2 linked regions of the Tribolium castaneum genome follow. The protein of the gene in region 1 purifies or fractionates together with the protein of each later gene. This does not show direct contact. Links are inferred from orthologs where the notes say so. Each region holds a gene or a part of one and is shown on either strand. Other genes may lie near its edges.

Evidence for each region. Proteins that work in one complex are often made in the same cells at the same time.
Region 2: the proteins of UBX domain-containing protein 1 (region 1) and Cul1 purify together in Homo sapiens (affinity purification with western blotting; 3 studies listed by BioGRID and IntAct, with this or other methods). This does not show direct contact. The link is inferred for Tribolium castaneum from reciprocal best matches to the Homo sapiens genes UBXN1 and CUL1.

Annotation. Positions count from the first base shown.
Region 1 is NC_087395.1:21,641,190-21,645,514, reverse strand, and holds UBX domain-containing protein 1, read right to left. Parts: upstream 2,830-4,325; 5' UTR 2,498-2,829; coding exon 2,445-2,497; intron 2,396-2,444; coding exon 1,560-2,395; intron 727-1,559; coding exon 686-726; 3' UTR 439-685; downstream 1-438.
Region 2 is NC_087396.1:22,572,638-22,575,763, forward strand, and holds part of Cul1 (cullin-1), read right to left. Parts: intron 1,730-3,126; coding exon 1,511-1,729; intron 629-1,510; coding exon 80-628; intron 32-79; coding exon 1-31. UniProt on the Homo sapiens protein: Core component of multiple cullin-RING-based SCF (SKP1-CUL1-F-box protein) E3 ubiquitin-protein ligase complexes, which mediate the ubiquitination of proteins involved in cell cycle progression, signal transduction and transcription.

The sequences.
Region 1 (4,325 bases):
GCACATTAATTACGTGTGTAAAAATGCAAAACAATTGCACAACTCCGCCTAGTCCCTGCATCAAAATAAGGCGTGAAATTGCAGGAACTCTACTTACGTAATGTTTAATTTTATCGTGAGTAGAGTTCTTGCAGTCAGTTTTATTTTTTTAAGAATCATCAATTGTTCGTAATGACGTAACTATTAAATTAAGAACACAAATAAAACGAATGTGGGGGGAAATGAAACATGCCTAGATTTTAGGAATAATTGTCATGGTTTTCAGTTCACTCGTTAATTTGCATAAAACCGGTCTTTGTAATTACGTGGTAAGTTGTAGAAATTCATTTGTTTTGATTTAAGTCTGAACAGGAGAGCATTAATTGTAATAATTGAAAATAAAATGTGGTCGATGGTTGGTTGTTTTATTTACCGTTTCTTAGGGAGCGACTCGGCAAGGAAATATGAAAAATTTATTTACTGCTCAAGATTTCACACACAACGAGCTGCATATTTTTATACAGCAGCTACTGGCTTACAAAATGATGTATATTTTAAAAAATATTCCAACATAAATTTGTATAGTTTTGTAGATACTTACACCTAGTTACTTAAGAACATCCCAGCTATTGTTCCAGCGTTATTTAAGCAATTTTAATATCGTACGATGGTAGAGTAGATAAGGTTTGTGCAGCATTTGACCTAATTACGATTTTGAAACGATGAGTGTGGCCCTTGGACCCAAACCTGAAACCCATTCTTGTATTTTTTGGAAATTTTATTGGTTATAACGGAGGACTAAAATATTAGGAGGCGTTTTCGTCGCAAAAGCGAATACAAAAATTAGAGCACTAAAAACAACAAAAATTTTGCCAGTTTGTGATCTCTGGTACAAAAGGAGCAAAATACAAGAACAAAGTCGTAGATATTAAATTACAGTGAAAAGAGGCGCTAAATTCATGAAGAATAAAGGCGGCTTTTAAGTCAAAAACCGGCTAAATGCTCGAAAAATGAAAAAAAAAAAATTGGTCAAATATTCGACCCTAAATGGTTGACTTTTTTATCTTTGGGAAAACGAAGTATGTTGTCATTTGCGACCCAATTTAGTGAACTTTTTTATCTCAAAAGCCCCTAAACACTAGAAAAACGATATATTTTCTATTCATTACAGTAATTTTTCGGGCGGTAAGTTTAAAAACGTGTTTAAAGCCCCGACTAATGCAAAAAATACACAATTATCGAGGTAATTTGATTATTTCTACGCTTATTTTTAACGAAGTTTTACAAAATATATACAAATTCACAGTAAACTATTGCAAAACATTTTGAGGCGCCAAGCATTTTGGTGATTTTTAGGTCTTGTTTAGCAAAATTCGCTAGCCTGTTTTAAACAAAAATTCGCAAATAATTCCGTGACTGTATACAAGATCTGTCACAAACTTGTTTAAACCCTCAAAAAATTAGGTAGTTTTTTGGTTTATTTTCGACAAAATCATTGTTCTGGTGAATGTTTTGAATTTAAAATAATTCGGAGCCGAAAGTACTCGAAATTTCTTAGTCCTTCGGAGTTTTGCAATTACCTAGACTTTCTAAAGGAACATCGTAATCTTCAGGCCCGAAAACCTTCTTTGGATAATTCGTCATAAGGCTAAAGGGCCCTTCCCCGTCCTTTCGGTTCATTTCCACATACAGCCTCACAGCGCTCAGGGGCTCCTTGGCCCCGAACTTCTGCACAAGCGACGACCCATTCGTGAGCCTGATCTGCAGCATAACCTCCGAGTAACCGGCCGCCGGCTTGGGGGCCGCCGGTTGGGGCGCCGGCGTAGCAGCTTGTGGGGCTTCCTCCAGCGGTTGCCCCGAAAATTTCGCTTTCCGAGCCAACTTGTCCTGTTCGATTTGTTCTTTCACACGCTGTCTGGCCAGCCTTTCCTCCTCCTTCTCCCGCTTTCGCTGCTCCACAAGCTTCTTCATCTCGATCTCGTCGTGTTTTTTCTTGGCCTCCAGCAGCTCCTTTCCCGACTTGATCCGACTGCGTTCCTTCTCCAGGGCCTCCTGTTTCTCGCGCGCTTCGCGCTCCATGCGCCTCTGTTTGAGCTTGGCTTCGATTTTCGCCAGTTGTTCCTTCTTTTCTTCCTCAGTGAGCGGTTTCTTCTCCTCCGTCGACTCCGAGAAGTGCTCGTGGCCCGACTTTGTGGCGTGAAACTCCACCTCGTCCTGCGACTTGAACAGCTTGCCGCAGTCGTCACATTTGAAGGACCTGACGACTTGGCCCTCGGGACTGGGCTGCGCTTCGGGGGCGGAGGCGTCGGCGGCTTGCGGGGGCTCCGGCATGTCCTCCAGCTCTTCCTCGTGGGACAGCAGCCAGTCCATGGCAACCTGGATGTCTTCGGTCCCGGTTTTGGAAACTGCTAACTCACTGCAAGCATTTTAATGGTAATTTGAACCGCAATGACGTGTTGGCTTACGCTCGTGCTTTGCTGAAGCCCATCTCGACCAAGGTGTCCACAGTACCCGACATTTTTTAATAAGGGGCTTTGCACTACGAATTTGACTAAACAACTGGTCGAAAAACCGACTTTTTCGCGTAAAACGACACCATGCAATGCGTATTTCAACGATACTGATGTGACAACACCGGCAAAAATGCAATCAGCTGATAAACGCACAAACAACACTAAACTTGTATTTCGGACGGTTTCGCAACGTGTCCTCAACGTTTTTGATCAAAAACAATGAGTTTACGCGATATTTTCCTAAAATGTGGTTAATTTTGGGGACGCGTTCGGATCTAGGAAAATTTACGTCTAGAACTTGGCATCAACAGAAAAGCACATACCTAGAAACATTCACTGGCAGAATCGCACAAACCGAGAAACATTCATTCACAGAATCATTCAAAACAGAACATTATTTATTTAGGCACTGGATGCTGCCTATGACAGTATTTATCTAGAAAATTCATTACCAGAAACGTGCATCAATTCGGGAATAAAATTATCTAGACGCCCTCAGGTGACGACATGTCGTTCTTGCCGAAAACAGTAACGAAATTTTCGTAATTTCTTATTTAATGAATATTTAGCAATTTTGCGTGTATTTACATTAGAGCGAGTCAATCTAAAAGTATGTGGTGGTAAATACTAGCGTTGCTTTTGGTTGTGAGTTTTCGTAATTATCAAATGTTTTTGTTTGTAATGTAAAAGTTGATATAAAATTAAAGAAATTTTACTTTTGACAACAAAGTGTTATTAAAACAATTGCCTAATCAATAATTGTTGAAGTGTGTGAAATACTTGAGTGAATCCACAAAACTGCAATTAAGATTAACAACTGCTCATACATTTAAGTATATTGTTCCAAAAGGTAGGCTTTTCAATGTGCTTTTAATAATTTTACAATAAAGTACCTAATTGAACAAACAGTCATTCGTTATTCGTGTTTTTCTCGTCATCTCTAATTTGTCAACATTCGTTCTTTGCACCAAAGTCATTCAACCAACCAACCTTCTGGCAACTTGGACTTGCAATTATTAAAATTTACATTTTTATGAATAACACTGAAGTTGTCGTTTTTGATTCAAGGTAGATTGATCTGCCCCTACATATTCAATAAGAATTAATAACGCTCTAAAAGAGCAGAAAGACACACAAAATAGTCCACTAAAGTGAAAACTTAACATTTCAGAAGTGAGCACAACAATCCTAACCCTACTTTTTCTAGAGCTAAATTTTCTGGAGACTTTTGTCCCTATTTGGCAGTAGCATTGAAATTCTTAATGCAAGGTAGAAATTCCTACCCTAAATATCCTCTGCAAGGGCAGAAAATTTCACGTCGCCAGTTTCTGTTTAAATAAAAACATGCGTCTTTATTTTTCCATTAACTACGATTATTTTATAATTTCAGACCACTGCCATTAAAAATCTGAATATTTAGGAAACCATTTCGATAAATCTAGGGACTTTACATTTCTACCTTTAACAGCGCCCTCTGTTACGTTTTTGATTTGGGTGTTAATGATTTTCTAGACAAATACATTTCGTGTAATGACTTTTTCTAGATCAATACTGTTCTATTTTGCATAATTCTGTGTATGAATGTTTTTAAATTTGACGGATTTTGCCACTGAATATTTCTGGTGATGAACTGTTTTAAGCTTGTGTGACGTCACGTCCGTGACGTGTCACGAGGTTAGGTGTGCGGCGCAGGCGGCGAGAGCGCTTCAGTCGACAGCGAGCAGCGGCACGGTCCAGTTGGGGAGCGGGAGCAGGAGGCGAGGCGAAGCGAGGTGAGGCGGTTTATTTAAATTATTGTGTATTGTGCCGTTTCATTCAATTTATTCAGTTTGT
Region 2 (3,126 bases), on another chromosome or scaffold:
CCAGAATCGTGTTGACGTAAATTTTCGGGTCCTAAATACAGGTTATTAAAAACTGGGAGTTGTAGTAACAGTTAGTTACATTATGGGCGCTTTCTCCGCATTTTTCAATCGCTGAGAGCCCCTGAGCTGCGATATGTTGCTCGAGAAGCGTCCGTAATTCCCCTAAACCGTCCGGAATCCGCGCTACCAACGAGTACATCCGACCCAAATCCTCGTCTTTGTCGGCGTCCAACAACTGCTGGAACTCCGAATGGAACATGTCGAGGTGCTTTTTAATGAGGACTCTTTCGCAGGTTTTGGCTAAACGGCCGCTTGTTGTTTCGTGTAGATAGACTTGGACGCGTTTCTGTTCTTCGAGGAGACGTTGTTCGGCCTTTTTCATGTATTCAGTGACCGGATTTTGTGCTAGGAAGTTGTTACTCTCTTTTAGGTAGAAGCGTTCAGTGTCTTCCAGAAACATGTTTTCGAAACTCTCTTTGTACACCGATAGGTTCGGTCCTTTGGCCCCTGGTTCCTCCTCGTTTAGGCCCAATTCCACGTAACAGTTTATCACGCCAGAGACTAAACGAGTGTTGATTGTTTCGCCGTTGCGCTCGCGTTCGATCAGTTTCAGAACGGCAGTTGTTACCTGGTTTGAACGGGGGAGAAAAATAAAAACGACAGCCCCGGATAGGGGCTTGCAAACTCTCAATATTTACTAATTTAAAACGAAAGCAAAAACAAAACTTTTAAAATTAATATAATTCTATTTATTACCTCAGAAGTATTTTTTTTATTTCATTTTTCTGAGGATTTTTCCATACCAGATTAGCTAGCGTAAGTGGGCTAAAATAAGTTTATTTTTACCGTATCGCAAAAAATTATAAACACACATTAAATGCCTGTTTTTCTCTATGCAAGTAAATCTTTTCAAAATTTTTACAAGTTCCTTATACGCAATCAAAACAAATTAATTAATCGTAAGCGACTGAAAAAAATATTTCAAATTTTGATTTATGTCAAAATTACGTAGAAAACATTGTAGCTAGCCTCAAAAAATCCTCCAAAAAGTTGGATGATCTCACATTAAATTGTAACCAAAAACATTCAGGCAAACCAGCCCTTAATATTAATTTATTAATTTTAAGAAATTGTAGAAAAAATATGAGAAAATTCACATACAGGGTGAGTCAATAGTGGGTTAAATTTAAATGTTTTTTTGACCTTCATGTGGAGTGTAATCTTTCAAATTCAAAATGTCAAATCTTCCTAAAGGCTCCAGATCTTCAGCTACTCATACTCTCCGAGATTATAAATATATTTTTGAAATTTATTAAAGCTTTCATCAAAATCGCCTTCTGCTGAATTAGCCGACTTTTCGGTTCTTTTTGGATAATTTTGAAACTGTTCTCACCTTCTAAATTAAATAAAAAAAAAAGAAGTTAAATAAAGTACAGTGAGCCGTAGATGACCCCTCGTTTTTCCCTTCCCCATAAATATTGATAGTTTTCCGCGCGAATTTGTGGCTAACCTGTTTGTTTAATTGTTTGAACAGATGATCTCGCCATGTCACCAGTGCGAGCTGATAAATTTCGTAGATTCCTTTCCTTCCCTCTTCGCATTCTCTCTTCACCCAATGTCGATTCAAATACGAGCAAATACCATTCAGAACCTTGCTACTGAACTGATACTCCTCCCATTGACGCGTATAAAATTTCAAAACGCCTTCACCCATCCGATTCATCCCGTCCTAACAGAAAAAAAAATGAAAAAATTGATTTGTAAATCTTCCGGTTTCGAAATTACTACGCAATAATCAAATCACGTCAATAATAACTTGTTTTGCTACATGTCTGTTTCCGCCTTTATTGCGTTAATTGTGTTTTTATTTGTGCGGCGGACCAAACAATACGCATCGAAACAACAAAACGCAGTTGGTTCGCAAACGTGGATTCATAAATTAATAAAATTATATTCATATTTGTCCAGTACGTTTTTTTTTTTCCAAACAGTTAAAACAGATAAGATTACTGAATAATTCACTCGAATTTTTTATCTTTCTCTGGTGTCTTATTCGAATTGAGATTCCATTAAGGTGGGTTTAAAAATAACACGTATTGTTATAATTACCTTTTAACCAAGGTTAATGACAGAGTTTAACTGGAATTTGCATGTAAACGTAAAACATTGTAGTCTTTACAAAAAAAAAATTCCAAAGAAATTATTTTGTCTCAAATCGCTCAGTTTATTTTATTTAAACCACAACAACGAATATTTTTTTTAGATTTTAGTAAATTTCATCATAGATTTTTTCCAACTTGTTCGTTCATAAAAAGCAAAACAATTCACGACTAGGCTTTTATTACTGTCAAGATTTGCTGGCGATTATTGCGTCAAAATCATGATTCATTCAATTTCTTGTTTCACAATCTTATTCCGCGCTCGATTAACACGACCTGAACCGTCTCAACTAATTTACGAGTCGTTCCAACAGATAACGATGATAAAATGTGAACTTCATCCTTTGACCAATTTAAAATTGTAATTTTCGTTATCCCTTCGTGCATTATTCAGTCACACTTTCTCCACGCTTCCACTTAATATTTTAACACTGGCATTTCGTTTTTTTTTTTTTAATCAAAAACAGATATTCCCTCGATCGATAAATTAAGCGTCACCGGAAAATTTCCTCAACCGAAAATTAGTCTTGCATCAACTGCGGTAATTACAGCACGAAACGTCACTCAAGGAAAAACAACAATTCTGCAATTTTCGGTATTTTTCCCCGATTTTGTTATTGCCAAGTGCACTTCTTATCCGTCGACCCTTTGAACTTTCGCTGGAAATAATCGCTGACCTGAATTTTCACCGAAAAACGTATTTACTTTCTTGCACCGAAATTTTGTAATAAAGCGGAAGTAAATGTGGCGCCATTGCCATAGCTCGTGACCAAACAACATTCAAGATAATTAACGTTAAAACACTGTTGGAAACGAGATTTTTTTTTATCTGTGGCGAATCGATAACGTTGCGTAATTGATACCATTATAAAAATATGAAATATTCAAATACGTGGTCGTTCAACTCGCAACAAATTCAATTTTTATGATGCGAGGGGTTTGTTTCGATTGTGTGAAATCCAATCCA